Linked DNA regions of Mus musculus: regions 2, 3 and 4 are each reported to be linked to region 1. Evidence: microRNA targets listed by miRTarBase, many of them from high-throughput screens and not tested one by one. Region 1 holds a microRNA gene; each other region holds the end of a gene's coding sequence.

What was found. Region 1 holds the annotated microRNA mmu-miR-324-3p (CCACUGCCCCAGGUGCUGCU, at 4,289-4,308, shown strand). A microRNA usually pairs through its seed, bases 2 to 8, with sites in the 3' UTR of a target mRNA and lowers its output. Matches are read on the target gene's strand: a 7mer-m8 pairs with bases 2 to 8, a 7mer-A1 pairs with bases 2 to 7 and ends in A, and an 8mer does both.
Region 2: the mRNA of Cav2 is a reported target of mmu-miR-324-3p. Seed matches in the 3' UTR shown: 7mer-A1 at 6,199-6,205.
Region 3: miRTarBase lists 4931428F04Rik as a target of mmu-miR-324-3p. Seed matches in the 3' UTR shown: 7mer-m8 at 2,691-2,697.
Region 4: miRTarBase lists Chrna4 as a target of mmu-miR-324-3p. Seed matches in the 3' UTR shown: 7mer-A1 at 1,829-1,835.

Annotation. Positions count from the first base shown.
Region 1 is chr11:70,007,807-70,015,355 of GRCm38, forward strand. Mir324 (microRNA 324) reads left to right here and starts at 4,237; the gene lies at 4,237-4,325. Dvl2 (dishevelled segment polarity protein 2) reads left to right here. Exons shown (of 15, transcript NM_007888.4): 11 at 9-137; 12 at 214-345; 13 at 475-654; 14 at 971-1,189; 15 at 1,338-2,303. The coding sequence ends at 1,786. It overlaps Acadvl (acyl-Coenzyme A dehydrogenase, very long chain), which reads right to left. Exons shown (of 20, transcript NM_017366.3): 1 at 7,457-7,549; 2 at 7,311-7,389; 3 at 6,987-7,052; 4 at 6,825-6,897; 5 at 6,673-6,737; 6 at 6,439-6,573; 7 at 5,628-5,772; 8 at 5,366-5,495; 9 at 5,152-5,277; 10 at 4,642-4,840; 11 at 4,380-4,484; 12 at 3,878-3,964; 13 at 3,730-3,792; 14 at 3,539-3,640; 6 more. The coding sequence starts at 7,518. The coding sequence ends at 2,490.
Region 2 is chr6:17,285,959-17,293,507 of GRCm38, reverse strand. Cav2 (caveolin 2) reads right to left here. Exons shown (of 3, transcript NM_016900.4): 3 at 4,378-6,611. The coding sequence ends at 6,461. Among named protein-coding and RNA genes, the nearest start is that of Cav2, 8.5 kb to the right of the region's middle.
Region 3 is chr8:105,275,894-105,283,442 of GRCm38, reverse strand. It overlaps 4931428F04Rik (RIKEN cDNA 4931428F04 gene), which reads left to right. Exons shown (of 8, transcript NM_028888.2): 6 at 1-268; 7 at 359-456; 8 at 1,299-3,034. The coding sequence ends at 1,463. It overlaps Nol3 (nucleolar protein 3 (apoptosis repressor with CARD domain)), which reads right to left and starts at 6,996. Exons shown (of 4, transcript NM_030152.4): 1 at 6,830-6,996; 2 at 4,173-4,469; 3 at 3,668-4,027; 4 at 1,504-3,548. The coding sequence starts at 4,467. The coding sequence ends at 3,541.
Region 4 is chr2:181,018,514-181,026,062 of GRCm38, reverse strand. Chrna4 (cholinergic receptor, nicotinic, alpha polypeptide 4) reads left to right here. Exons shown (of 6, transcript NM_015730.5): 6 at 1,184-3,752. The coding sequence ends at 1,309. Among named protein-coding and RNA genes, the nearest start is that of Gm30797, 6.6 kb to the right of the region's middle.

The sequences.
Region 1 (7,549 bases):
TGTCCTAGATGAGCCCATCCAGCCCATCGACCCAGCCGCCTGGGTGTCGCACTCGGCTGCGCTGACTGGCGCCTTCCCTGCTTACCCTGGCTCCTCATCTATGAGCACTATCACATCTGGCTCCTCTCTGCCTGATGGTGAGTCTCTCTCCTTTCCCGCCTCCCTGGGTGTGTGAGGGACCTTTCGTAAGTTCTCCGTGGTCTCTCCTATCAGGCTGCGAAGGCCGGGGTCTCTCTGTCCACATGGACATGGCCTCTGTCACCAAGGCCATGGCAGCCCCAGAGTCTGGGCTCGAAGTCCGGGACCGCATGTGGCTCAAGATCACCATCCCAAACGCCTTTCTAGGTATTCCCAGGCCCTGAGCAAGGTGGCATGGGAAGGTGGGGAGGAGGCCAAAGCTGGGCACAACACAAGGTGGAGGGGAGGGGAGGAGCTGGGAGGAGAGTCTGACCTGTTTGCTGTGCTGGATCCCAGGCTCCGATGTGGTGGACTGGCTGTACCATCACGTGGAAGGTTTTCCTGAGCGCCGGGAGGCCCGCAAGTATGCCAGTGGGCTGTTGAAGGCGGGACTCATCCGGCACACCGTCAACAAGATTACTTTCTCTGAGCAGTGCTATTATGTCTTCGGGGACCTCAGTGGTGGCTGTGAGAGTTGTAAGTCAGCAGGTCTGGCTGTAGGAGCTCAGGCTGATGTGTGCCCCGGTACTGCTGAGTAGTACTGCTGAGTAAGCGAGGTACCTGAGCTGCATCCCCAAGGGAAAGAGTGCTGCACGGGGCTCACAAAAGCATTTTGGGGCTATTGGTGAGAGTCCTGGCTGTTTCTCTGCCAGAGCAGCAGAGTTTCCTGTTGTAAGCCATCATGGTCTCTGGCTTTTGTCTCGTGGGGAGCTCTGGGGAAATGGCTCAGGTTTCTCTGTTCTCAGGAATCCTGGCCTCCTAAAGCAGGGACCTCTCTTCCATTTTTTTCCAGACCTAGTTAACCTCTCTCTGAATGACAATGACGGTTCCAGTGGGGCTTCAGACCAGGATACCCTGGCACCTCTGCCTGGAGCTACTCCCTGGCCCCTGCTGCCCACCTTCTCCTACCAGTATCCAGCGCCACACCCCTACAGCCCCCAGCCTCCACCCTACCACGAGCTTTCTTCGTACACCTATGGTGGAGGCAGTGCCAGCAGCCAGCACAGTGAGGGTAAGTGACCCACTCCCACGTACCAGTACAGCCAGAGAAAGTGGGCACAAGTAGAGCGGATTCGGGGAGGAGAGGCAAGAGCAGGGACTGGGATCCTGAGGACTCTGGGCTGAGCTTCATTTTCCTCGTCACCTCTGCCCTCCAACAGGGAGCCGGAGCAGCGGGTCGACAAGAAGCGATGGGGGGGCTGGGCGCACAGGCAGGCCTGAGGAACGGGCCCCTGAGTCCAAGTCCGGCAGTGGCAGTGAGTCAGAACTCTCCAGCCGGGGAGGCAGCCTTCGGCGGGGTGGGGAGCCTGGTGGGACTGGTGATGGCGGCCCTCCTCCATCCAGGGGCTCGACAGGCGCTCCTCCTAATCTCCGAGCTCTTCCCGGGCTCCATCCCTATGGAGCCCCATCTGGCATGGCTCTCCCCTATAACCCCATGATGGTAGTTATGATGCCTCCACCCCCACCCCCTGTCTCCACAGCAGTGCAGCCCCCTGGTGCCCCTCCAGTCAGAGACCTGGGCTCCGTGCCCCCAGAACTGACAGCTAGCCGTCAGAGCTTCCACATGGCCATGGGCAACCCCAGTGAGTTTTTTGTGGATGTTATGTAGGGACCCATCTTGAGGCCACATTGGGTCTGTGCCCTTGGCCTGGCAAGTTTCAGCCTGGTGCCCTTCATAGTGCCTGGGCTCAGCCTGGCGGCTGGTGCCTACCAAAACGTTTTTGCCACTGTGACTCTCACCAGCAGTGCCTGGTCCTTCCCCCTCTTCCTCGGGGGTAGATGGGGACCTTTGGTTATTTTTAGCTTTATTTTTTATAAGCTTTTTGGGGGGTTAAAATAGACTTTCTTATATTTGGGGGAGTATTTTTTTAAATAGACAGTTCCTCTTTTATATGGAGAATCCCTTCTAACCCCAGAATATGACCGCCACCTCCAGGTGCCTAGTCAGCTCTCATGTTGAGGGTGGGTGGTGGTCAGTGGTACCCTGGGAAGAAGAAGGTGTGGGCTGGGTACCCCAGACAGCAGTCCAAGGAGGCTGGTGGTGTGTTGGGGACTGTGTAGCTGCCTTTGTTACTCTATTTATTTTAGTCACTTGTACAAAACACCAAATAAAGCAAATAGAGGCCAACTCCCCAAGCCTCTGGCTCCTTTCTTTGCGAGGCAGGCAGTGGAGAGGAGGGAGCAGTGACATTCACGGCAGACAGTGACTTGGTAGAAAATTTATTGTTAAGGCAATAAGTACTCCATCACCCCCATAAAGGGTTTTGGCATCAGAGAAGGCACATGACCTTGCCAGGGCCTGATTGGGAGTCTCAGATTCCCAGGGGGTTACCGGTGACCAGGCCACCATTCTCCACCATGGCCTTGGAGATGCTTCTGAAGTTCCGGAAGAGCTCCTGATGCTGAGGGCTGGACTGCAGACTGGCCATGTTTTCTCGGATCCGAGTTGCAGCCTGGGGAGAGGGAAGGGGAGGGACGGTCAGGCCGTCCTGTACTGGGGAGCTCCAAGGCCCACCTGTACTGGGGAGCTCCAAGGCTCACCTCAATGCACCAGCTATCACAGAGCATTTTCTCATGCTGTGCCGTCGGGTAGCCCTCACTCAGGGACCTTGAGGCTCTGTGAGGAAACAGAGGTTAAAATGATCCTGAGTGCTGGTGTTGGCCCAGCTCCTCTGTGGCTCTAGCCTGCCAAGCGTCCCTCGCTGCCGCCTTACCTGGACAGAACCACCACCATGGCATAGAGGTCAATGGCGCCGTCCGCCAGTCGCTGCAGCAGGAACTGCTCGTCTGTCAGGTAGATGAGGGTGGGGCTGTTAGTCGGAGGGAGGGAATCAGGGAGGGAAGGGGGTTGCAGAGCTCACTCACTGACAATCCCTTTCTTGTGTTTCACCAGCTTGGCCTCCACCACGGTGGCAAATTGATCCAGAGCCTGCACTGCCTGAAGAGACAAGAGTCACAGACAGAGCTCAGGAGAGGAAGGCAGCGCACAGCCACCGCAGGCTCTGCTTTAAGGCTCACTCACCAGTTCACCACTGCGACTTAACTCTGGGTGGACAATCCCTGACAGACTCAAACCACTGCCGATTCCTGTCCTCCTGAGAGGAGATGGAAGAGTGACTGGTCAGTTGCGGCCTCCCATCTTGTTTGACCCTGACTCTGACCCTGGCCCCGGCCCATGAGGTACCGTCTCAGCTGTTTGCCTGCTTCTCCCATCAGGAGGCCAACGTTTCCAAAAGGATTCTTCAGGGCATTGCCCAGCCCAGTGAGTTCCTTTCCTTTGTCCTGTGGAGAGAAGGGGGACGGCGACAGTGAGGACTCAGTGTCCTCCCCAGCTGCTCTCTCTCATCCTCCTTCCTCTTACCATACAGCCTTGCAGAGCCACAAACAGTCGAAGAATGTCATTTGCCCCTTCAAAGATCCGGAAGATTCGAATATCTCGGAGCACACGCTCCACCCCTGGTTCCTGGCACGCAGGAAGACACAGAAACCTCTGTTGAGATGTGCCTGTCCACTCTGAACAGATGCCCCCCCCTGCCGAGGAATACTCTGTACCTTCATGAAGCCCATGCCCCCCATTATTTGGATGCACTCATCTGCCACTTTCCAGGCCGCCTCCTGAGGACAGAGAACCAGATGAGTTGGATTTTTGAGCTGAGGTCCTAATCTGGACTCCGCCCTCCCATCACACCTGGGTCCTCACCGAGCAAAAGATTTTGCTGATGGCGGCTTCTATCTGGAAGTCTTTGAATCCCTGGTCCATGTTGGCACTCAGCATGTAAGCCATGGACTAAGGGAGCATGGTCGGGACATGGGGAAGACAACAGGGAAGGGCTGCATCAGACAGAATGGCTAATGCTCAGACCTTCAAGACCAGTGCTGATCTACTCCTCCAACCCTTGAATTCACTTTAGCCTCCTGGTCAGGTCAAATATGTCCAATATGTGACCCTCTGGTATATCAGGGGCTTCGAGGCTTCCGACTTTGTAAAGGGGTGGGTTAAAAGTCGTGTTTGGTGCATCTGGGCAGCATTTAGCAGAGCAGCACCACCCTCCAGAAGAGAACTGACTATGCCTCCTCGCATCCCCTAGGGCATTGGTGTAAAGCTGGAGACCCACTGCCCCAGGTGCTGCTGGGGGTTGTAGTCTGACCCAACTGTGAAGAAAGCCATAGGGCTCCAGGGAAGGGGCCCAGGAGGCCCTTACCTCAGTCACATACTGCAGAATAGCCATCCGAGCCAGCTTTTCCTGGATCACCCCAAAGTTGTGAATTTTGTCCCCAAACTGGGTACGATTAGTAGCATGATCAACCTGCAAGAGGGCGCATGTTACCCCACTGTGGTTCTTCAGTTTCCACCTGGACGGGCTGGAGGCCTAACTGTGCCGATGGTCGAGTGTGCATGTGTGTGTGTCGGCGCTCTGAGGCAGTCAGGGACATGTGCTAGCTAGGGACTGGGCTGGGACTCACCGCCTTGGCAATGAGGGATTTCATGGTGCCTGCGAGGGTTGCAGCCATCCCGAATCTTCCGTTGTTGAGGATGTTGACAGCAACCTTGAAGCCATCTCCCACCTCTCCTAGCACATTCTCTGATGGCACCTTCACTCCATCAAAGTACACCTCTGACGTGTTAGATGCTTTGATGCCCATCTTCTTTTCAGGGAGCCCACTGAAAAGGCAGGGCAGGAAAGTTGAGGTATGAACAGGTTGCTGTGGGGGAAAACGGCCTTTTCGGGTCTCATGATCAGGGGAGAACTCCCCAGACTATAAAAAGGATACAGGGCACTGCCTATGTGCCCCAGGGGCTACGGATATCTAGCTATGGCCTGTTAGCCTGTGTTCCCCCAGTGGAAACAAAACTGCTCACCTCCTGTGGGTGCCTCTTGTACAGAGATAGCCCCAGCGTGGCCTGTATTGACTATTTGCTCTTGAGAGCCCAGTGCTGTCCCCATCCTTGATTCTGTTTTGCCCCATACTCACTGGGTAACCCCTCCGAAGCTCCTTTCCACTACAAAAGCTGTGATCTTCTCTTTCACGGCCCCCGTGGCTGCATCTTTAATTGGCGTCTTGGCAAAGACAGTGAAAATGTCAGCCAGGCCCCCATTACTGTGGAAGAGTGAGGTGGTTAGTATAGGGTTTAGAGCAGCAGGGTCAGGCCACTGGGCTGAAGGGTAGAAGAGAAACGGAAGATTGCCTGATCCAGATCTTGCTCCCATTGAGAGTGTAATATTTTCCACAGGGGCTGGGTATGGCTGAGCTTCGGATGGAGGCTACATCGGATCCACTCGAGGGCTCTGTTAGGCAGAAAGCAGCCAAAGCCTGCCCTGTGGGGGAGAGAACGGGCTCACTGGGGATCCTGACCACCAGAGTTGCACCCCCTCATCCCCAGGCAGTTCCTTGTAACACCGTGAGCAGTGTCACACTCCTTACCCCTGGGTCTCTTAAGGTTGCCTTACCAGATGCCACTCTGGGAAGGTATTTTTCTCTCTGGGCCTTTGTGCCATAGAGCAAGATGCCTTTGAAACCGATGCTCTGATGAGCTCCCAGGGTAACGCTAACACCAAGGTCATGCATGCCCACAATCTCTGCCAAGCGAGCATACTGGAGGGAAAGGAGGCATCTGGGATTGTAGCTGGCTGCACTGAACTTGTCCTCAACAAGAATGGGCAGCAGGGCAGACCTGGCCTGGGGCTTGGAGCATCTCTACTCTGAGCATGGGGAGTGGAGTGGGTTTGGACAGGGCACAGGGAGGCTGGCCATGGGGCTCCCAGGTAGGCTGCTTCTCTAGCATGAAACCCTGGAGTCTTTCCTAAGGAGACAGGAGCAGGAACATCAAAGGGCTTAGATAATCCCCCCCCCCCCTTTTGAGGCAGTTTCATTTTGTAGCTCCAGCTAGCCTGAAACTTTGTGGGTTTCCCTGACTGTCCTGAAACTCCCTCTGTAGACCATGCTGGCCTTGAACTCGAGATCCGCCCGCCTCTGCCTCCATCCTCCATGCTGGGATTAAAGATGAGTGCCACTGTGCCCAGCTGCCCTTGGTCTTGATGGGAAGGTTGCCTGCTGTGTTGCCTCACACAGTCCCCAAAGACCTGGGAACCACAGTTAGGTCCACGGTCCTAGTGGGCTGCACACAGATCATGTTTCAGGGGAAAATGTGTGAGAAAAAGGGCAGGCAGGTAGACACTACTCTGGCTACTTGCTTGGCCCTAGTGGTGAGTCTACCAAAACTGGAGCACTGTGGAATGTTAACCAGGGGGATCCTCTCACCTGGGTATTAGAGAGGCCCAAACCACCCAGCTCGCTGGGTACTTGCAGGCCAAATGCCCCCAGTTCCTTGAGTCCCTGCAAAGTGTCGTCCTCCACCTTCTCCAAGGCGTCGTTCTTGGCAGGGTCATTCACTTCCTGAGCAAGGAATAGGAAGAATCTCATATTCAGAGGCTCCTTTAAGCTCCTTAGCATCTTACTTAGCCCAGGAGGGGCTGAGCTCTGGTCATCCCTTACCTCAAAGAACCGGGCCACTGGTCCCACCAGCTCTTTGAGAAATTGTGCCTGTTCTTCACTGAGCACTGTATAATGGGAGAGAAGAGCAGGCTAGTCAGGCAGAGAGGGCTCCCCTGCCCACACTGTCAGTGACTGACTAAGCCTTTACTTACCAGATGGGTATGGGAACACCTGATCAATGGTAAGCTGGCCTTTGAACATCCCCACAGCAAAGGACTTCGATTCCTAGGCAAGGAAGGAAAGGATCTTAGGTGGGTGCCTGGGGTGATTCTACTCCTGGTTTTTAAGTGTCAGTCCAGTTTCCAGTCACTTACTGCCCTGGCTGGTTTTTCTCTGGTGGAAGCATCAGAGGAGAGGGTTTCTGGCTTGTCCAGAACTGCCTGGAGGGAAGGGCAGAGCAGTTAGGCTGGAGATGGGTCTTAAAAGGTGTGCAGGAAGCGCTAGCTCTAGGAAGTGCGTTTGGTGCATGTTCCATTACTTTCTCACTAGGGCACCCTGGCGTGCCCTTTCCCCTACTTTCAGTGACAGAACTGCCACCAGGTGACTGGGTCGAAGAGAGAGACCCCTGTCGGTCGCAGGCTAGTGGGAACTGGCAACTCGCATTTCTACGTCCGTCTCCCTCATCCACTGTCACTTACCTGAGTGGCCTCCCTGGCATAAAGTCGCTGGGCAGAGATAGGCCGGGGTTGTCCCTGAAGCACAGTAGTAGATCGCGAGCTGTAAGGAGTCGGGGTTCAGTTCTGCCCTGGTTCCCAGACCCAGTGTCCCCTTGCTATATACGGACCTTCGGGCCCCCAGCCGCAGCAGCTGTCGCCCCACACTCGGGGTCATCCGAGCCGACTGCATCTCCAAAGCCGCCGCCGAAGTCTTGACCACT
Region 2 (7,549 bases), not on the chromosome of region 1:
ATTTATATTGGCGAGCAATATTTGCCCTTGGTGACATGCTGTTTCCCACCGAGTCCCGTCTCTTCCTTCCTCTAATCCTCCTCCACCTCTACTTCTTCCCATAAAGGCAAAATAACTTCTCCAGCCGAGCACCCACGCTGGGTAACATAACACGCACAAGGGCAGTCAGATAGGTGTCCCTGTCCTATTTTGGGGTAATTGTTGGAGTGGTGTCCTCTGATTTCTCTGACTGCTCTGTGGTATCCTTTCTCTGTCACAGACACCATAGCTGGGATCAACAGTGGACCCGGGCAAGGTGAAAGAGACACAAGTGGTCACAGCTATACTTGGATTTTCATCTTCAGTTTTGCTCACTGGATGCTCTTTAGGGTATTTGGTTCCTGCAGAGCCCCCAGGCTTCCCCCAGGCCCCCTTTCATTCAATAAGACAAAAGCAATTCTTTGTGGAGAAAAAGAAGTCTCTTTTGTGGACTGGATTCTCTCCACTCCTATTCAGTTTCCACCGAACCCTGCTTAGGAATATGAAGCAGAGGTCTCCAAAGCAAGCTGGGGAGGGTCAAGGTCAGGGCCATTGTAGCCGCCTGTCTTTTCGTCTATAGCCGGGCTTTCTTCTTGGTCTGTGTATGTGCTCCATATGGTACTCAGGGCTCTTCCTGGGCACGTCCCTTCTGCAGTGTTCAATATCCCCTTTAGACCATCCATTCATAGTGAAGTTTAAAATATAAGGCTGCTAATCAATTGAAACGTGACCCTACTCAAGGTTATTTTCCACTTAAAAGGCATCAGAGGTAAGAAACCTGTGGCAGCTTTCAGATGTTTCCCAGAGGGAGGCTAGAGGGTACAAAAGTGATTTTAAACTAGGACTAGGGGGAGCCTTCTTTTGCTCATTTTACTACTTAGAAGTGAAGAGGGAAGACACTTGGTGAGTTGACCCCAAATTATTCTTATTCCTTGAATCTCTAGCCTGCATATCTAGTGCACTGGTATCCTTTGCCTCCCCCATCTGTCTGTTTTTCAGAGAAAATGTCCTGCATCCTCATTTGTGATGAGCTGCGTCAGCTGTGCGAAGGGCTCTTTGTGTCTTTACCCACTTTCTTTCCGTGGCTGCTTCACATAAACCCTACAACCTTTGGAAACTCCTGTTATCTTATGGAAACACTCTGTAATGATGCAGCTGCAGCCACAGAAATGGGGCAGTTCATATGGTCTCTTACCATACAAAGCCATTTAATTTGTCCTAGTGTTCAATTGACACAATGTATAGAATGTGTTTTCTGAGATGCAACATTCTACAGAAGCGATGCTTCCGTTGATTTCAGTGGGGAATGGGATAATGAAAGAAACTCCCGTTCCAAAAACCACACAGGCAAGACGACAAGAAAGTTTCCAAGTTGTACAGATCCCTGTTCTTGACAATTTGAAAACAGGTTCGGATAAAGGCAACACAGAATTAGACAGGCGTGTCTTGAGTAAGAAATATCATGTTTGGACGTTTGGTTCCCTGCTGATAGAGCTGCAGGAAGGTAGAGACCTTTAGGATGTGGAGCCTGCCTGAAGAAGCAGGGTGTACGGGGAGGGTCTAAAGTTTTTAGCTGAGCCTTCCTCCCTGCACTCTGCTTCCTGATTGCAATAAAACTAAGTTCTTCACACTCTTGTTCTATGCCTTTCCCCACCACAACCAAGTGTTTCTCTTCCTAAAGCATGAGTCAAAATAAACCCCTTAAATTGTATATGTCAGGTATTTTGTTATAGCAGTGACATGTGTAAGCAACACAACTGGTATTGCCCCAAAGGAAGGAATGCACATCATATGTCTTACGTAAGGTCTAGTTTTCCCATAGTGATTCATGAGCATGAAAATCATGCATATGAACTTTTGCCATAATCAGTCTGTTTTGCTCTCCTTTGAAATGTGACTCTTACTCCTAATTCTGCAAGCACCTCAGATTTTGCTTAATCATTTATTCCTCTAGTTACTCATTTAGGAAACATTTCCTCAGGCATGGTAGCACACGCCTTTAATCCCAGCACTTGGGAGGCAGAGGCAGGCCAATTTCTGAGTTTGAGGCCAGCCTGGTCTACAGAGTGAATTCCGGGACAGCCAGGGCTACACAGAGAAACCCTGTCTCGAAAAACCAAAAGAAGGAGAAGAAGAAGAAAAAGAAGAAGAAGAAAAAGGAGGAGGAGGAGGAGGAGAAAGAGGAGGAGGAGGAGGAAGAAGAGGAGGAGGAGGAGAAGAAGAAGGAGAAGAAGGAAGAAAACATTTCCTGAATTCATTTGGTTGCCAGCCTTCCAGAATCTTAGGAATCAAACGTGGAGATGCGTTGGGTCCTTAAGCAGCTGTATAATGGGGCTAGTTAACATTGTATATGATAATAGAAAGACTCTTTAATGGTGACAATGTGATAAGCCTTGTGCATGTCACTCAAAAGTTTGATCATATAAGGGTGATCATTTATAGCCAATGTTTTAAGTCAAGGAGATGGAATAGCTTTGATAGGATAACATTTTTAAGGGAAGGACCTTTGAGCAGATATTGACAGAGAGGGTAAGGCCAGCTGGGAGCGCTGGATGACAGCCAGGCTGAGGGTGAAGATGATAATGGCAATGGTGGTTGCCAATCAGCTTTCCATTGCTTGGGCCTTTGATGTAACTTGGAGATAGAAAGAATTATTTTGGGATCATATTTTCTTTTAGATGTTTCAATTGCTTGGCCCTGTTGACTTTGGGCTGTAGTGAGGGAGAACATTTGCATTAGAACAAACTGCTTACTGAAATGGTACCCAGGAACTAAGAGGAGAGAGACAGCAAGGAGCTGAGATCCCAGTATCTTCTTCTACACTTTCAAAGACATGGCTTGTTTCATTTAGACCCAGACTACTAAAGGTTCTACCAACTTCCAAAAGCACCACTGGCAGGTGACCAAGCCTTTAGGATATGAGTCTTTTGGGGAACATTTGAGATCCAAACCATAACATCTATCAAAATGTTGATTTTGTTAGTAAATCTTCAAATTAATATGAATTTATTTAAAATGTACCAAAACATGTTACTTTAGGGAATAGAATGATAATATTTGAGCTTATAAAAATCTAAAAGTTTTTGTCATAAAGAATCAAAGTCATAAAAAAGTCCTATAATCAATAGAAGAGTACAAAGTATATCTGTGAATGTATGTTCTATATCTCAACTGAGTAATTGACTACATTTCTCCCCCACCTCCTTTTCCTCCTCCTCCTCCTCTTCTTCCTCCTCTTCCTCTTCCTCTGTCTTCTTCTCCTCCTCATTATTATCATTACTATTATTGTTGTTGTTGTTAAAGTTCCTAGACTAAATAGCTAAATGTGTAAAGTGCAGCAACATGTGGAGATTTGGCAGGAACATTTAACTCAGTATTTTCCCTACAGATAAGAAATCCAAGACTCAGATGCTAAGCCATTTGCAGAAGGTGAACTACAGGAGTCGTGGTAGTGCTGAGGGTGGAATGGGGATGTCTCACTTCTAGGGCAGGGAGCATTTTCCTGCAGCAACAGCTTCCAAGAAAGACTTGAAACTAAATGAATGGGATTTAGATGACTAGTAAAAAGAGGGACTTTTAAAGTTCTTTCAATCTATAAAGAACATTCGAAAGCAGCCAAATATCTGATTTATTAACAGATTAATTGACCACAAGAAAGTCTGTGCCAATATCAACAGTTGTTCCTCACACACTTACTCTCCAAAAATAATTTTGGAGAAATCTGGCTTTGGGATACAAGGTATTTTAGTATGTGAGTTATAATGGTATCACTTTCATATTTAAGACTTAGAAATAGAGGCATCAGTTTATTTAGGATTAGCAACATGAAACTTTACAAAGCTCGAGCGTGGTTGGTTTGTGAGCAAGCCACCACATATTAGTTATCAAATGACAGGAACATTTATGCAGAATCTCTTCAAGTGCTAGGAAAACAGAGAACTAAACGATCAGTCTCATAATTCTTCAGGACAACATTCTTTTTCCTCATGTGCATTTGCAGTGTGTGCGTCCACATTCTCTCCTGTGTGCACACACTTGTGTACGTGGTTGTGCACTCAGCTGTATGCATGCAGAGGTCTGGGGTTTGATGTCAGAAGTCTTCTATTACTATTCACCTTGTTGGCTGAGGCAAGATTTCTCAGCTGACCTCGGAGCTTGTGGATATGACTAGTCGGCCAGCTGGCCCTGGAGATCCCATCTCTGTTTTTGGAATGATGGAGCTAAAAATGGACTGCCAAGTTTGCATGGCTTCTATCTGGGTTCTGGGAATCCAAAACTCTAATTTGCTTGTATGGCAAGTACCATAACCATTTACCCATCTCTTCATCCTGACAGATACATCTTGGAACAGCAACTCGTGTCCTTGTTATTTGAGATTTTAAGAAACTTTATTTGAAAAGGTTCTTGTTCCTGAGTACCAGATGTACGACATAAGCAGCAGAAAGACAAACTATAATAGAATCAATGAAATCATCCACTGTTTTTAGAGATGTTTATTATGGATAATAAGGGAATTTCTTTGCCTCTGACTTCCAATTGCCCTGCCCCCAAAATCAACATATTTGCATATTTAACTTTGATTCCTTTTATCCACAATTTGAGTTTTTGAGACAAAATAATTCATGAAAAGTTTCAGTAAAAGTTCAGTTGAAAGTAATCAATACTATTTAGGAAAAGGAAATCATATATATTAAAAATTAAAGATTTTTATATATAATTATACATATTTGTCTTAAAATCTGTCAGAACTATTTTAAAAGGTTGAAGCTTATAATTTATTAAACTGATATTTTATTGTTAAAGTTTTGACTAATCAATACACCCAGGCATTTAAAACTTAAATTACAAAAATAATATAAAGCATGAGACTGACCTTGGAAACTAGTGTGATACAATCTTGACAGTCACATTAATGGCGATGCTTGTGGCTATTACCAAGCTATGACTTCGTTTACTGAGGATGGTACAATACCCTAAGGCTGTTTTGAAATGTTTCTTTTATGATTACCATCAAATTGATATGAGTTTTATCACTTAGTCTCTTAATATGATATTTTGACCTGGTCTGCAATAGAATCCCAGTTCAATGACCTATAATAATGACCAGAATTGAAAAATTGAAAAAAATTTATCTTCTTTCAGTGAAGATTTGACACCCATGAGCATATTCGAGCAAATGCTCATTCAGGGTTTGATAATAATTCTGAAATTTGAAATATTATGTAATTATAATGTAGAAATTTTTTAACATACCAATTTTTAAAAGACCATACTGAGTAAGGAAATAATGTTTTATAGGTTTTAAGATTCATACTAGAGAACATCTTGAAAATTTGTAATGTTAGTTTCTAATTTACACATGTACTTCAGTTTTATAAACCCTCACAATTGTTAATTCTCCTGTAAGTTTCTCTATATGAACCACTGTAGTAAAAAAAAAAATGTGCTTAGATGTTAGACACAGCCTTTATCATAAAAAATATTATTAACTAGCACCAGAATTACTTGAAAGTAAGTGAAGCATTCATAGGAATGTAGAATACAGAATAAGTTTCTAACCATTCAGAAGAAAACTTATAGTAAACAAAACAACTACATGTCTACATGTCTTATGGTCACAGCCAGATGAAGCCCAGTCATAAAACATTTGCTGGGTAAGTTGGAGAGAACACCTAGACAGCACATTTTACACTGCATTCCAAAGAATCTATCAACATTCTCCTATAGGACATCACAGTCTTACAAAGAAAGTTACCCTATGGTAGCTCTGCTTACTTTATATAATGAGATTAGTACAATAGCAAACACAAGAGAAACACACTCCAAAGCGATTTCATTAGAGTAACACTTGCATTAGGTATACAATATACAGAAAAACAAAACATCTTGTTAAATAGGCTTGCAGGCTAATAATATCACAGAGGAACACATTTTCACATTTATCTCTCTTACTATTCAATAGTTATTATCATAAGTATATACTTTTGTTAATGTACAAAGTTCCTAGAATGTTGGAATGTATTGCCTCTAGCTAGCCTTATGACCATATCTGTAAAAGTAGCTTCAAGAACATTACTCCTAGAGGAAAAGAAAATAAGAAATTCCTTACTCTTTATGAGCAGTTATGCACAAAATTACTCTAATGTCTGAGGAAGTTGCCCTTTGACCATTATCAAGTCATCACTGCAATTGTATGTTTTTTCCTAAAGATATCTGTTCTTACATTGGGTGTTGCCAATTCTTGTTATATAATTAGATATAACTTGGCTTTTGGTGAGAAAAATCATTATTTTTAAAGATCTGACAGTGAACTTCGATAAATCTGGGTTCCATTTTAAGAATAATTTTAACAGTTGGGAAGTGAACAGAACAGTAGTGAGTTTGTTGCATCAATAAAGTTGTACAGTATCCAAATGTCTGGACCTGCCCAGGGTCTGAGTGGTCAGTCGTGGCTCAGTTGCATGCTGACCGATGAGAAGCTGCGGCCCACACTTGTACACAATGGGCCAATGACAACGTCTGTCACACTCTTCCATATTGTCTGCACGGAAGGCAAGACCATTAGGCAGGTCTTCACAAAAGGCATCAGGATCCTGGAACGGGGGGAAGAGGGAGATACAAGCATTGTTAATATTACCACTAACAATTTGCATTACCAAGTAAGGGGCCTGACACACATGCTTGAACAAATACAATAATGACTTAACTCAAATGCGCTTTTAACAGTTCACAATAAATAAATGGACAGTGGCCAGTATGGTAAGAGGAGCGAGAGGCACACTGTTTAACAGATAAACAGGCACATAGATGATAAATATTAATATTCTTTCTGCTGGTGGAAACGGTAAAACAAAAATAAACAAAGAGGCTTATTTCTCTGCCAGATCTCTGCCCCTAAACATTAACTGGCTAGCACTTCCTGTTTCTCTGAGAGTCTACTTCCTGCCTGCCTTTCCTGTGGCCTCTCTCTTTGGCTCCTCTCTTAGCTAGTCTAGTTGGGAGCCTCCTCATTGCATTTTTAATGTACTGAAACAAACTTAGCGACTTTCAAATTTATCAAAAACACATGGTAAGTAGATAGTCTTTCCTTCTAGATTATATGCTGAACTTTTTCTTTCATCAAGACATGTGTGGAAAAGAACTTAGTATTTTGTTCAGCTTCATATTGTTATCAGCATTCACAACATTAATGACTGAATATTATTATTCTCCATAGTAATGACACTCACCAAGAAGGCCTGTGTACTGTAGTTAAAAGAGAAAATGTTTATTCCCACGTGTTTGTATACCTTTTCTTAAGATAGCTTAATATTCTTCAGTTACCCAGGTCAAATTTTTGTGTAATCCCCTGAATAATGTTTTCTTTGAGAAAAAAAAAAAGGAAAATGTGAGTTTTGAACTCTGCCAGAGTTTTGTTTTTGTTTTTTGTTTTTTTTTTCAAGACAGAGTTTCTCTGTGTAGCCCTGGCTGTCCTGGAACTCACTCTGTAGAACAGGCTGGCCTCGAACACAGAAATCCGCCTGCCTCTGCC
Region 3 (7,549 bases), not on the chromosome of region 1:
CCGTGGCACAGCACTGAAGGCAGATTGCAGTACGGCCTTCAGCCAGCCAACCCTACTGAGGAGGGCCTGGCTAGCCTGCATAGTGTGCTGTTTCGAAAGCAACCATTCCTGTGGCGCGCCGCCCTGCTCTACTACACCATCCACCAGGCGGCGCACATGTCCTTCCGCCAGCTCTTCCAGGATCTGGCGCAGTACGTGCAGGACGAGGGTGTACGCTGGGAGTACTGCGTCCGTGCCAAGCGAGGACAGACGGATACCTCCCAGCCAGGTGGGAACTGTGGAGTCGCAAGAATGCTCAAGCTGGCGCAAGGTGAAGGGTGGCTTTTGGGTAAGGCTCGATTGGTTATCCTTCTCACAGGCTGCTTCAGCAAGGACCAGGTGTACCTGGATGGCATTTTGCGCATCCTACGGCACCGGCACACCATTGATTTCCAGCTGCTGACCTCGCTGGGCAAGGTAAAGGGCCGAAAGGCCCAGCCAGCTCTTTCTTCTTTAGAGTTATGTTTGGTGAAGGCCTCGACACTTGGGAAGGCAGACAAAATGAGACAAAGTTTTGGTAGCACAGATCAGGTGTGTGACCTAGCCTGCAGATGTGTACATAGGTGTTAAGGGAGGTGAGCACTCCAAGGCAGGGAGAGGTCAAGAAGTTCTGGGGAAGAAGGTGGGAGAAATGGCCAGGGACCAAAGCCCAGGTCTTGTACCAGGTTGAGGCAAACCTCGATAGAAGCAAAGGGGGGGGGGGAGTATCGTAAATGTGTGGGCATGGATTTTCTTTAAAAGGCTCCAACTGAATGTTCTGTGGGAAGTGCAGGAAATGGAAGACCTAGATAGGCAAGAGAAGGAGGTCTTCCATCACTCTTACAGAATTGATAATGGCAAAGCTATAAACTACAGATAAAAGAACTGTTGGACTCCCTGAATGGGGAAATGAGAACCTAGTCGGCCTTTCTTGGACCTGATTGTGGTGACTATGCAGAGGGGAGGACAGACAGCTGACATTCAACAGTCTCCTGTTGGATGTGGGAGATAACCCGAGAGAGAGACCCAGGTATCAGTTGGATACCATTTAGAGGTGAGGAGATAAGGTGGGCTGGAGAGGAATGGGTTGTACAACGTAGATAAAAGATAGAGAGAGAAAGATAGAAGATCCAGGGCAGAGCCTGAAGGTATCTATTGTAGGAGTCGATGAAGAATATACACAATCATCTCAGGAGCAAATGGCCCTGAGCCATGGGTAGATCCTGGACTTGAAAGCCAGGCACTTTGATTAGCTCTGAGGCTCAGTTTGCTTCCTATAGGTCTCCTATGAAGACGTGGAACAACTGCGGCCCTACGGGGTGCTAGACAATACCAGAGTGCCCCACTTCATGAAGGACTTGGAACGTTACCGGCAGCAGCTGGAACACATCATGACCACCAACCGGCTGGATGAAGCGGAGCTGGGCCGCCTGCTGCCTGACTGATGTTGACTAAGGGTTATAGACAGACGCTCTTGACAGAGGTCACAGATCGGAATATGAAGTTCTTTATGGTTCCATAGCCTAGGTGTTTCTTGGGGGCATTTGGGAGGCCAGGAGCATCGTGGGCAGATGAGAAGCAACGTTAGAAGGTTTTTGTCCTTGCTACCCTTCCTGGGGCCTGTGAACTGCAGCAGCATGTCACATAAACTCCTGAGCAGGGGAGATGGGAGGGCGATGAGATGGGAGCTGAGTGTGAATAGAAATGTGGGTTGGTTTGGGAATAGAAACTTGTTCCTGCATGAGATGGCTTTGGGTGTCTGGTACCACTCCTTCCCTTCCCCCTACCTGGCCGATTGGTGCTCCTTCTACACTCATACCTCTACCTCTCACTGGGGCCAGCAGGAGTTGGGAACCCCTCTGAGGTGATTTGCCTGAGCATGGGGTTCCGGCTGTCACTCAGGCTCAGAGACCCAGCTGGGCTGGGCTTTGCCTTTCAGCATTCTGTCTGTCTCACTGGTCATGCATTGTTCCATAGTCGCCCTCATGGGGTCATTTCATGCCTCCAGGCGGGGCCCGGAAGTAGTAGTAGTAGTAGTAGTAGTAGTAGTAGTAGTAGTAGTAGTAGTTCCATGTAGGGGCAGGATCCTTTGGAAAAGTACCGTATGTTCCTAGACCCCTTCCTTCCTTCCTTCCTTCCTTCCTTCTTTCCTTCCTTCCTTCCTTCCTTCCTTCCTTCCTTCCTTCCTTCCCTCTCCCTCTCTCCCTCTTCCTTCCTTCCTTCCTCCCTCTCTCCCTCTTCCTTCCTTCCTTCCTTCCTTCCTTCCTTCCTTCCTTCCTCCCTCCCTCCCTCTCCCTCTCTCTCTCTCTCTTCCTTCCTTCCTTCCTTCCTTCCTTCCTTCCTTCCTTCTTTTCTTTCAAAGACTTATTTATTTTATGTATACGAGTACACTGTAGCTGTCTTCAGACACACTAGAAGAGGGCATCAGATTCCATTACAGATGGTTGTGAGCCGCCATGTGGTTGCTGGGAGTAGAACTCAGGACCTCTGGGAAAGCAGTCAGTGCTCTTAACCACTGAGCCATCTCTCCAGCCCCCTAGACCCCCTTTCTTATCACTCACACAGACACACTGTGTCTTGTGTCTTGTGAGTCCAGCACCTGGTCCCACCCTCAGTCCCCATGTTAGTCTTGGTTGTGCCTGTCTTTAACCACAGCCTCACAGCTGGTCTCTGGCAGTGGTTAGGACAGGCGGGAGCAACCACAATCAAACCTACAGGGCAGGCCCTAGGGTTTGTTATCCCACGTTCAGGCCAGGATTAGTACAGAGCTGGTTAAGGCTTTCATTTCACTTCAGATTCAGCGGTGGGAGAGTGAGCTAGTACTGTCCTAACCCTGGCTTTTCAGTTAATGTTTCCATCTGTGAAGCTTGGAAACACAGCTGGGAAGTTTGTATTCATTTACTTAGTAGATATGTGCAGAGCTCCTTGTGTATGTCTGTGACTGGTTAGACCCCACGCCCCTCACTGAGCTCCCAGTTCAGAGGAAAGCCAGACAATTAAACAGCAGTTACAATGATGTGTGTGGCTTCTGTCTACTCAAGTTTCCTCTCAGGTCCTCCCTGCAAGACTGTGAGCGCCAAGACTTCTCTCCATGTGTGGATGGACATCCCCCTTCACTTGCTTGGTACACCAAGCCGAGTGATTTCCATGGATTAGAAGTGTTGCCCACTCGGCCTCCCAAATGGCCCCTGAGGGGAATAAAGTGGGTGAGGGAGGGTCAGATTTGGGGGCCTGCATCTGAGATCTCCAGAATTACAGCTTGGGCTCTTTGGGAAGTGGAATGTTTTTGAGGGGATGGGGGTATTTTCACACAAGCCTGCTCAGGTCAGTGGGATTCAGACCCACGCTCACCCTCAGTTCTTGAGCAAAGAGCCAGACTTGTGGAGAGTCAGGAACAGACTGACCCTCCTGAGTTTATTCATTTGGCAGTAGGTGTCTCGGTGCATCGATGGGGTCAAGCTCTGGCAGGTTTCCAGGTCTTATCCAGCACAAATAGGATTGGACAGCTAAGGATTCTGGCCTTCAGGAATCTGGAGATGAAAATGATGGTTAGTGGAATAGGGATCAACCCCCCCCCCCCACACACACACACTTTGCAGTCCACAACCCGTAACAAGCCTGCAAGCAAGGGTTTAGGCGCTCTCACAACCTTCAGATTCATCCTCTTCTTGGAAGTCGGGCTCGGGTTCGGGTTCCGGCTCGGGCTCGGGTTCTGGCTCGGGCTCGGGTTCCGGCTCGGGCTCGGGTTCGGGTTCTGGCTCGGGCTCCGGCTCCGGCTCTTGTTCTGGATTCATTTCTTGTTCCAGGTCTGGCTCATCCCCTTCAGTAGCTTCAGCTTCTAGTTCTGGCTCCTCTGGAGTTCGAGGCTGCAGTGCCTCAGAGCCCTCAGGACCTCCGACCTCCTCTTGCTCTGACGCTCTTGGCAGCTCAGGACATGTGGTCCCTGAACTGGGTGCTTCTGGCGTCCAGTGGCCTGGGCATGAAGGGTCATAGCTGCGGTTCCGGTAGCCTGGGAAGGAAGAGGGAGTACTTGAGGTTCAGTTCACCCCTCTGTGGTTACCTCCAAATTCTCTGCCCTCCATTTACCCTTTGCTTCGCCCTGCCCCTAATCCACGCCCTTCGATTCATCAAGGCTCCACCCTCTTGGTGCTCACCGGGCCCCACGTGCTGCCAATCCCAGGCCGGGTCTGGCATGCGCACTGTTTGCTGGGCACAGCGCAGTAGCTCCTGGCAGGCTGCCTCGCCCTTGCTCTGCACCAACAGCAGTAGGCGGCGCACCCTGCGCTCTGCATCGGGCAGCGCATCCAAGGCTTCGTACTCGGGCCCAGTGAGGACGCCCCGGGCCACCAGCGCATCCAGCAGCAGCCCAGAGTCAGCCTGCAATGTCTCTACCAGCCGTTTCCGTTCCCGGTCAATGGTCTCTGATGGGCGCTCCTGCACGTTGCCCATTTCTGCTGTGTCAAGAAGGAGAGAAGGGGGCGGGGCGTAATTTGCGTTACTCTACGCTGACCAGGAGTTATCTAAGTTCACCTCAACATCAGAGTCTGGATGGTTGCTCAGCGCAAGACCTAGAGGCCAGGGGCCCAGAACGCACCCTCCAGCTTCTTGGCTGCTTCTGTCCTGATTCCTCAGGTTTCTTTTGCAGACTCCACCTGTCAGTGGAGTGCTCTTCCCAGCTAGGACCTCCCTCCCTCCTAAGCCCCAGACACCTGCACAGTTGGCTACCAGTTGAGACCCAGTTTATCCAACTGAATTATTTTGTCTGAACCCAATTCCTTACCTAAATAGGCAGAAAACCCTAGGCTTGATTCATACCTTCTTCCTCGCCCCTGCAGCAAACCTTGGATCAAGGGCAGCCTGCCTGATCGCTCATACAATCGGGTCTGCACCCGAAGGGCCAAGGCACCCGTGTTCCATTCACCTAACACGGAGGTCCAGGCATCCCAGAACCTTGCCCCTTCATTCACCACCGTCCGCAGCCTCAACATAGTCTTGGGACTCTTCCAGGTTATCGTAGCACAACTGAACTTTAATTTTGAGAGATCTCCTGGTATCAGGGACCCACTTGTTTCCCTAATGGCCCGGCAGTCACTTACAGCCATTTCTTATTTGACCTTGAAATGCCCAGCTCTTAAAAGCCACTAGGAGTGCTTACCAGACTTTTAGCTTCCCCTCCATGGATTACCCATTTTGAGAGGCTGCCTGTACCAAACCGTAGGAACCAAGTATGAATTAATCTCCTCTGCTCATTTTTTATCAGCTCCTGCCTATCATGACTACCTCCCAACGAGTTGGGTGTCCTAACCCAGCCAATAAGGGCCCTGACTTTAAGGAAAAAAGAAACCTGGCCATTCCCTCTGCCTTCTCTTTATTCATACAGCATCCTTCTAAGTCTCCCCTGCCTTTTTGTTTGTTTATTTGTTTGCTTTTTGTTTTCGAGACAGGATTTCTCTGTGTAGCCCTGGCTGTCCTGGAACTCACTCTGTAGACCAGGCTGGTCTCGAACTCAGAAATCCGCCTGCCTCTGCCTCCCAAGCCCTGGTCTCCTCTGCCTTAAATGTTCCTGTTTCTACCTTCTTCCTGGCCCATTGAGTCATATCCCCCAACCCCTGCCCCACACATATCAAAAGTCCCATGCCTCAGTACTCACACTGTCCTGTCCCTGGGCACTTCACACCTTGGGTCTCCATCCCTCATATCTGTTGGTCCTTCTCCCCCAAGGCCACTAAGCGCAGACAGGGTACTCCTCCAACCCACATCTCCCTTCATGCCCCATCCCTGTCAGATGTCTTTTAATCAGTCTCCATTAGCTTCTTCTCCTTAAACCCAGCAGCAGCCGATTGCCTCCCGGGACAATAAATATCTCTGCGCACTTCTCTCACACCCCACGCCTCCCTTCACTCCAACATTGTGACTTTTGACAACTCTGGGGTAGAATTTATCTTTCCGGTTTTATGGATGAAGAGGCAGGTTCGGAGGAACCCAGTACAACTGGAATCTGACTTGCCCTAGCCTAAACTATAATGTTCCTTGTCTAGCTGAATGGCAGGCGTAGACACCCACCCTTTGTCTCCAGTACTCACCAAAGAATCTAAGCTACTAGTCTGGCTATTTTAACCCCCTCCCACCACTCTGGACAGCTAGGTTTCCATCCAACCATTCAGTCCTGTGAGAACTATGGTCCTAGCACTTTAGCCTTTGCCAACGCTGGTCCCTGGGCCTGGGATACTTGTCTCTCCCCTCTACTCTGTGGACCCAGCCCTTAACACTCAAATGCTCCCATGTCTACCCCAATTCCTGAGAGTTCAAAGGTTCGGAGCTCCTTCTGTGTGCCTTGGTCCTCACTACTGTGTTTACTGGGATCCACACTACACTGTATTCAGGACCTCTGCTGTCCTCAATGAGGCTTCCAAAGACTGTCTCCCACCACTGGTTACAGAGAAGGGGGTGATGTCAGCTCCTGTTCTGGCCCGACTTCGAGGCAGGATTGGCCTCCTCTTTCCCCCCTCTGTACCCTGAGTTTATGTTAGCTGTGTTTCTCTGAGGTTATCACAGCTCTAAGGTGAATGCTGGCTATGCCCTGTTCAGTGCATCAAAGAACAAGTCTAAATAGTACCCTGAGCCCCAGGTGGAGAAGTAAGACCTGGTAATTTTTTGGGATCCCTAGCTTGCTGGCTGAATGAGATTTGTTATTGTGGGTGGGAAACCAGGAGCGGGAGCTGGTCACGCATGCGCGACTGCAAGGGTACCCTCACCAGCCCTCCACTCAGTCCTAGAGCTTCAGTCCCGCGGAAGGGTGGGGCCCACAGACCTTCGAACTCCGCTGCTGGTGGTGAGGCCTGGGATTCTGCCCAATCTGTCTCCTTTCCCTCCCTGCTGGGTGGAGTCGGGCTTGTGGTCCGGAGCGTTTCGGATAGTCCCACTCCGGAGTTGAGCCTCACCGGGGCAGATGACAGTGCAGAAAGGGCCAAGCGAGCGAGCGAGCGGGGTGGGTACGCGAACAGCAGCTGCAACAGGGGCGGGGCGGCCAGGGCTGCTGGGAATGGCGTGGGGGAAGGGCATGCTTCACTGGCTCTGCGAACTCTGGTGGCGACGCTGGTGGAGGCGTGCTGGCAGGGGTGGTCACATAGTCCGCTACCCTTCCCTGTCCCAAAGCACCCGGATTTGAGTCAGGGGGTGGGTACAGCTCACAGTCTCACTTGTCCAGCCCTCTCTGGACCTTCTAATTGCTAGGTGCTTTTAATTTTCCTTTCCACGACTCCTCCATCTGCCTGTCACAGGTAAGTTTAGAGAAAGGAGCCGACTTGCCCAGAATCAGACACACGTGTATTGAGCTGGATGTGGCACAGAAACTCCTGCTTCCTGGAGGTTACAGTGGCCGGGGCAGGCCAACATCTCGGTGCAAGTAGGAAAGTTAGGCACTGGCTCTCCAAGTACACTGGCTCTTTCTCTTCCATGAAAGTCCGAGCGTATAGATGTTTCTAAGTCCAAACACCTGACCACTTGTAGAAACGCAAAGTCGTCACCCACT
Region 4 (7,549 bases), not on the chromosome of region 1:
GCTACTTTGCATCAGGCCCTGGAAGAAGCTAGAGTCCACACTGTGGGATCCAGAAGTGTGTGTAGAAGGAGCCATTAGTCATTTGGACGTCATCGTCACCATGTGCTATATAGCACGGTCCAATGAGGATTGACTGGGTAGTCACAAACGGTGGATATATATATATCATTCTTTTGTGTGCATCTTGCCACCATTCACCCTCTGTCTCTGACCATCCTCCCTTCTTGGAACATCTCCTGGCACCACTGCCTCCCCACCAGTGCCTGCTCAGGCTGGCTATGCTGCCCATGTAAGAAGTAGGTGTGCATGGTCAGAAGCAGACCAGGGGGCAGTTGGGCACTTAGGCCTTGCTTTTGGGATGGCCTTAGTGATCAATCCATTACCCAGCATGTCCTGGCTCTTACCCTCTGGACTAGGACACGTGGCTGACATCTTTCTGAGATCCACTTTTTCTTAATTTGATTTTATGCTATGTGTATGGATGTTTTGATTACATGTATGTCTGTGTGTCACATGCATGCCTGCTGCCAGCAGAAGCCAGAGAGTGTGTCAAATCCCTTGAAAAGGGAGTTATGGATGGTTGTGTCCACCATGTAGGAGTTGGGAATTGAACCCAGGATCTCTTGAAGAGCAGCCAGTGCTCTTAACCACTGAGCCATCTCTCCAGCCCCTGGGATCCACTTCTGACATCTGCACTGTGAGAAGATAGACTCAGCCTCTGTGCTGCTACCAGCTTTAGAAAACATAAGACATACTTCATCCCGAAGTCATGGGCCCTTTGTCTGGCCAAAGTAGGCCCAATGAGCTACATTTTGAGCTTAGGCAGCCTGCCAAGCAGGTAAGACCAGCTAGTGTACAACATGATCCCCAAGCCTTCTGTGGCGGTGTGGACTACCAGAAAGCACTCAGATGTGTCTGAATTCAAAGACCCCACACATGCAGCCTTAGATATGGGTTCTATAGATGCCCAGTCCACCTCATATGTTACCTCCCTCTGTTCTACCTAGCAGCAGCCTCTCTGACCCTGCAGATTCTCTGGCCATGCTCTGTCTCACCACATCAGTGTACAGATGTGTATCTGATGGGAAATACAGAAACTGTGGCTCATAGTGCCAGGTTCCAGAAGATTCTATGGTTGCCCATGGTATCTGAGAGCTAGAATGACCCATGTCTGTGTTTGCAGGTGAAGGAGGACTGGAAATACGTGGCCATGGTCATTGACCGAATCTTCCTCTGGATGTTCATCATTGTCTGCCTTCTGGGCACTGTGGGACTCTTCCTGCCTCCATGGTTGGCTGGTATGATCTAGGGAATAGCGGCACCTAGCTCCCAGGTCTCTACAGGGCCATGCGACTCGTCAGTCACCCACATCTTCCAAACCGGCCATGAGACACCTAGGAGAGAGAGATGCTGCCCTGGTTGACCCTGGTTCTAGTCAGGCCACAGGCCTGGTTGGAGCTAGTTGAGGACTGATATAGTTACAGGCTGAGTCCCTCATTAAAGTTTCTCCAGAGCAAGTGACAGTCACTCCCTGGCTTACAGACAGCACACACCCATCTGTGTCACAGAGAATGATCCAGTGTTGATCTCAGTTGTCCTTTGAGGCCAAAACAATTCATCCCCCTTCAGGAACCAGAGCCCCTCGTGCTGTGGGATTCCTACGGCCCAGGAAATTCCCATGGTGCTCTGCTGGCCACACCCTCTCCCTCCCCATAATGTGGTTCCCTCAACCCTCCAGGCTGGGCTGCTCTCTGACTCAAAGGTGTCAGATGTAAGCCCCGGCAGGTTTTTATTTTGTTTAGGTTGAAGCGAATTGGTAAGAAATAGAGCAGTGAGATATGTGGATGAGTCCCACTCACAGGTGAATGAGTGCAGGGTCTCACAGGAAGAGTGAGGCACCACAGGACTCCTGCTTCCATCTCAGGGTCACAGGCATCAATCATGAGCATTTCCTAGGGTCCATAAACCCGAGGAGGGCAAGGGCATAGAGGGTCTCAGGGTTGTGATGGAGCCAAATCCTGTCCAGGGCCTGGGCCGTTCATCCCCTCATGGATCTTCCTTGATATCCCTGTATGTTTCTGCCTCTCTGGAATTAGAAGACTGAAAGTAAGATTTCTCATCACGGTCCTGTGGTGTGGCCACAGTTCACCTGAGCACATCTCTCTAGACCAGTAGGAGTGGTGCGAAGCCCCTTCAATGTTGTAGAATAGCGTGAGCTGCCAAGAGACTTCTAAGCAAAACAGGCTCTGTGACTCATTTTTCGAGGGCCATCGACCAAGTCTTAGGGGTGCCTCACCCTGTCTGCCTTGCACTTAGGGAAGACCCGAGAGGTTCCTCTTCCCCTTCCCAAGATGGCACCAGGCAACCTAGAGAACCCACCGTGGTGGGATGGGAGAACGAACATGCTGTGCACATCTCTATGAGATTCCACTGAGTGAAGCCCAGAACATGGGAGGCATGCAAGAAATCACCCTGTGTCGTGGTCCCAGTTGACCCTCCGCTGTCTCCACCAGCCAGGTGGGTTTCACAGAGCTGGGCCCTGCACCCTCAGCCAAGCTGTTCTAGGCCCTGAAGCTGAGGTCCCTGTTTGGATAGTCCTGGGGACTGCAGAATGAAAGAAGAACTTAATGAACGCACCAAGCCTCCAGTAGGTACGGCTGCCACCTCCGTGGTATGACTTGCCCATCCCAGCTGAATGAGGATGTCAGGAAGGAGGTATGCCAGAGGGCCAGCATTGCCTTTACCTGACTACCTACAGGCAAATCCACCTTTAAACACAGAGCTGCTGGACATCCAGGGTGCTGGTGGGAAAGGAACTCCACACTGGGAGCCCCAGGCCATTCCTATGAACAGGAAGGGGATGCAGAGGCCTGGTCTCTGAACTCTGGATATTGTTCCAGGTCTTCCCTAGAGTCCTAAGGGCATCGAGGATCCCATCTGCCATGTTTCAGTCTGCCCTCCACTGACTGACTAGATCTCTAGCCCCTATATTGGAACTGTCGGGATGCTGCAAGATGACCCTGGTGGGGAAATTCATGCCAGAATCTGGGGACCAAGGGGAACACAAGCCCCAGTGATGAAGACAGCAGGTAACACCTGACAGATGTGTGTTCTACCATTATGGTGCATACGTGGCTCCAACCACAAGAAATGCAGACAACAGTGGAGATCAGGGCAAGGCCATTGTGACATGGAACAGGACCGCTGTGCTGGTCTCTTCAGGGTTAGGAAAACTGAACTGCTGGGATGCTCCTGACAGGCTACCCACTTCCCCCTACCCCCCAACACACATTCACAAGCCAGAAAAGGAAAATAAAACACCGTGTTCTCCCCATTCCCACTCAGCCGGCCTTTTGTCTGCCTGCTTCCAGTGTTGATATGTGTTCAAGATAAAGTTCAGTTAGGGCAGAATGCTTGATTTAAGACTTTTGAACCAGTGAGCTTTAAAGAACAGAGACTGTGTGGCCCCAGCCCCTCTGATACGTAGACATTATCTCCCCAAAGCTCCCAGTCCTCCCAGTCTACCCCATCCCATTAGACAGCATCAACTCAAATGTGAGTCTTGGAGACCAGTTCGGCTAGCCATCATATGTCTGGGAATCCCATATTGGACTCTGCAATGTCTGGCTTCTTTCGCTTGTGTGGCCAAGGCTCATCTGCGGTGTTGTGTGTGATAGACTCATTGCTGTTGTGTGCTTGTTGGATCTTAGTTGTTTCTGTCTGAATAAACCGAGTCGTGGTGTCTTCCCCCATCAGCGTGTGGCCCTGTCTTCATTTCCAGGTGTCAGTAAAGGTGCTGCTGAGTACCTATGTTCATCTCTGTGGGCATGTGTTGCCATTTCTCTTTTGTTAATAATGTTTTTTGCTTTTGTATGCTACGATGTCTTGACATGTTGGGGGCCTATCAGACTCAAGACTGCTGTTTCCACAGCTGGCCAATTACTAGTGCTCAATTTGCTCGGAGCCTACCCACCTTCGTGGCTGATGGGCCATCTACAATATTCCTTATAAAATTTACACAAGAGCCAGCCACAAGACAACTGGAGGCTGTTTTGTAACCCAGAGCTTGAGGAAGTGTCCAGAATATCACAGGATATTTCCTCTATGTGCACTGAGCCCCTCACAGAAACCCCCGTGAAGGTGGGGCTACCTCATTCCCTCACATACCTTCTCTGATGGACCTGGTACCCCCCAATCCTGGCACGACATCTTCTCAGTAATTGCAACTGACACCCATGCTATAATGCCATCAACCTCCCAGGGAGTCCCTTGTCTCCCTGGTAAACTAAGATCTAGGTACAGAGCCCTGGGGTCCATCCCACACAGATAACTCACCCTACAGGTTGGAAGTAGCCTTACTGTTGCCATAGCTCTTGGGCTCTGGTGCTTTTCCACTAAAGACATTTGAGAATCCACTGCTTTATACTCTGGGTCTCTTGCCACCCATAGAAATTAAGATGCATTGGTACAAAGCCACTAGCTGGTTTTGGAAGTGTCCTGCCCTTTTGGGGGAAACCTGCAGATCCCTGGTATGTGTCCATGGTGTGCACACGGGTTTTTTTAAAAAGCTACATGAGAACATTCCTGGCTCCTGCTGCTTTATTCTAGTCTCTTCCATTTCAGTCTGTAGAAAAATGCCAGTTGCAACTCCCCAAATTGATTTGCTGCTGACCCGCAGCTGGAAGCACACTGCTCAGGACACAATACCAAGGGGAAGGGTAGAATTATCAGGCCCTGGCGTTTGCACTGGGATTTAGATGATTCAAAGCACTTTCCACTCAGATATGCCGTTTACACTTGTTGTTTGCAGGTAGGAATTTCCATTACTTTAATCCTGCCTGACATTTCTTGCTATTTGCTGGCCTCACGGGTGACGTGCAGATAGAATGCACAGACCGTCAGCATGCCTACATATACTTTCTTTCTTACTGTAACTGCTTATGTCACCAGTACCCAGAAGCTGTCAGTCTCCACTGTGTATCCACTTCTGCATCTAGCTTATGTGGGTTCCATACTGTAGGCTGTACTGCTGCGCCTGGCTTCCCTCAGCCTGTTTGGGATTCATCTGTTTACACTGATGGATAGTTTACCATATGGTGATGAGATGCCAGTTCTCGTGTGCTTACTGTGTGACTACCACACCATTTATTCACCCATTTTCTTTGCAATGGATGTTTGGGTGGTCCCAGGTTGTCGTTGTATGAGAAGTGCTGCTGTGGAGGGTTAGGGTGTGCATACCAGTTTTTCATCCCAACACCGGGAGGGAGAGGCATGAGAATGAAGGGTTCAAGGCCACCCTCAACTACATTTTGAGTTTGAGGCCAGATTGAACGATGTGAGACTTTGTCTTGAACAAATCACCACCAACAGCAAAAACATACAAAGGGCTGGGAGTCAGCACAGTGGGTAAAGTGTTTTCCATGTATCCATAAAGACCCGTGTTCAGATCTCCAGCACCCATATAAGAGCAGAGAATGGTGGCGACTATCTATAACTCCATAAACATTTTTCGCAATTCTCTCAGACAAGCAGGTCCCCAGGTTGGTTAGTAAGTCTAGCCAAACTGGTGAGCTCCAATTTCAGTGAGTAACCAAATCTCAAAAAAATCAGATGGGAAGCAGTAGATATTACTTCCTACCCCCACAAACCACACATACCACACACAAATACACACACACACACACAACATCACCATCACTACCACACACACATACACACACATCACCACACACATACACACACACACACCACACACATACACCATTACCACCACACACCATACACATACACACCCAAACCCCACACCACCATCACACCCCACACCACACACACACCACCACCATCACACACACATACATCCTGCACACCATACACACACACACCACACACACATACACACACCATCACCACCACACACATACACACACACACCATCACCACCACATAACACACACACACACTGCATCACACACACATACTGCATCACACACACATACTGCATCACACACATACACATACACCATCACCACACACAAACACATCATCACCACACACATACATACACACACACCACACACACCATCACCACATACACATCACACACGCACCATCACCACACACTCACAAACACACACACCATTACCAGCACACACCATACACATACACAACCACACCCCACACTACCATCACCACACACACACACACACACACACACACACACCACCACCACCACTACCACCACCACCACCACACACACACACAATAATAATTATTGTAATTTTAAAATATTATCTACATGTTTCTATTGGGAAAATACACAAGGCCAGAAAAGACTTGAACACCATTGTTGTCTGCTGGCCTGGCTAGCATTTCTTGAATCTTCTCTCAAACAGCAGGAAGCATGCTTATTCTTTTCAAATGTACATGGGACAGTGGCCACGACAGACCACATGCAAGGCCTGAAAGCAAGTGGGACTGAATTCATGACTGGGTTAGCAGAGTATTTTCCTGACTAGCAAAGAATCAACTAGAACACTGTGTCTGTTTCAGAGGGATTTAGAGAGTATGTCTTTCCATCAGTGAAACATATTTACGGTAATTTCTGCCACACTGGGAGATTTATTGTTTAATATGTTCTAAACCCTGCACAGGGGAAACCCGATCTAATCAGCCGCTCTGGACACTCGCTCTTTTGGTTCTCATTCTAGAAGCTGCTCCTTGCTTATGGCAAACACTTGTAAAACAAAGCTTTCCGTATTGATTGGAAACACCACTGTGCCTCCACCTCCTGAGAACAGGACACCCTGCTGCCTTTGGCACTAGTTCATTAGAATATTCTAGAATGGCCTTGTTTTAGACTACTGCTGAGTGACTACCTGAGGCAGAGGGAGGTTGTTGTCAGTCTGCTCACACCATCCCCAGTCCTTTGTAGAGGTCTCCATGAGTGCCTGAAGGTGTTGTGGTCCTTAGAATATCCTTTGCCCTCATCCTAGATATGAGATGTGAGTGTTTCCCCTCTGCCCGCTGAGTGCCCCCTCAGTTTTTTGTCTGGGTAGTTTGGACTGTAGATTCATTAGGAATGAGTGTTCCAGTTGGGCAGTGGTGGTGCACGCCTTTAATCCCAGCACTCAGGAGGCAGACTTCTGAGTTCGAGGCCAGCCTGGTCTACAGAGTGAGTTCCAGGACAGCCAGGACTATGGAGAGAAACCCTGTCTCGAAAAACAAAAGAGTGAGTGTTCCTTCTGTCTTTACCACATGTGATGCTAAGGACATATTTCACAATCCACCTATTGACTCTCATGGCTCTGTCATCAGTCTGAGATCTGAGATCTTTCTCTGATGTTCCAGTCTTCAAAGCCTTGTTACCTCAGTATACCAGTGCTCCATTTATGACTGCCTCCCTCCTCTAGGCCTCATCATGAGGCTGCTGTCAACAAGTTCCCCACACCTCTCTCGACTCAGGCTCCTGGACACGCTCTCCTCTGATCCTGCAGCTTGCCGATGGCTTCGACAGTGTTCTCAGGCTCACATCTCCTGCTGACTTTGTTTC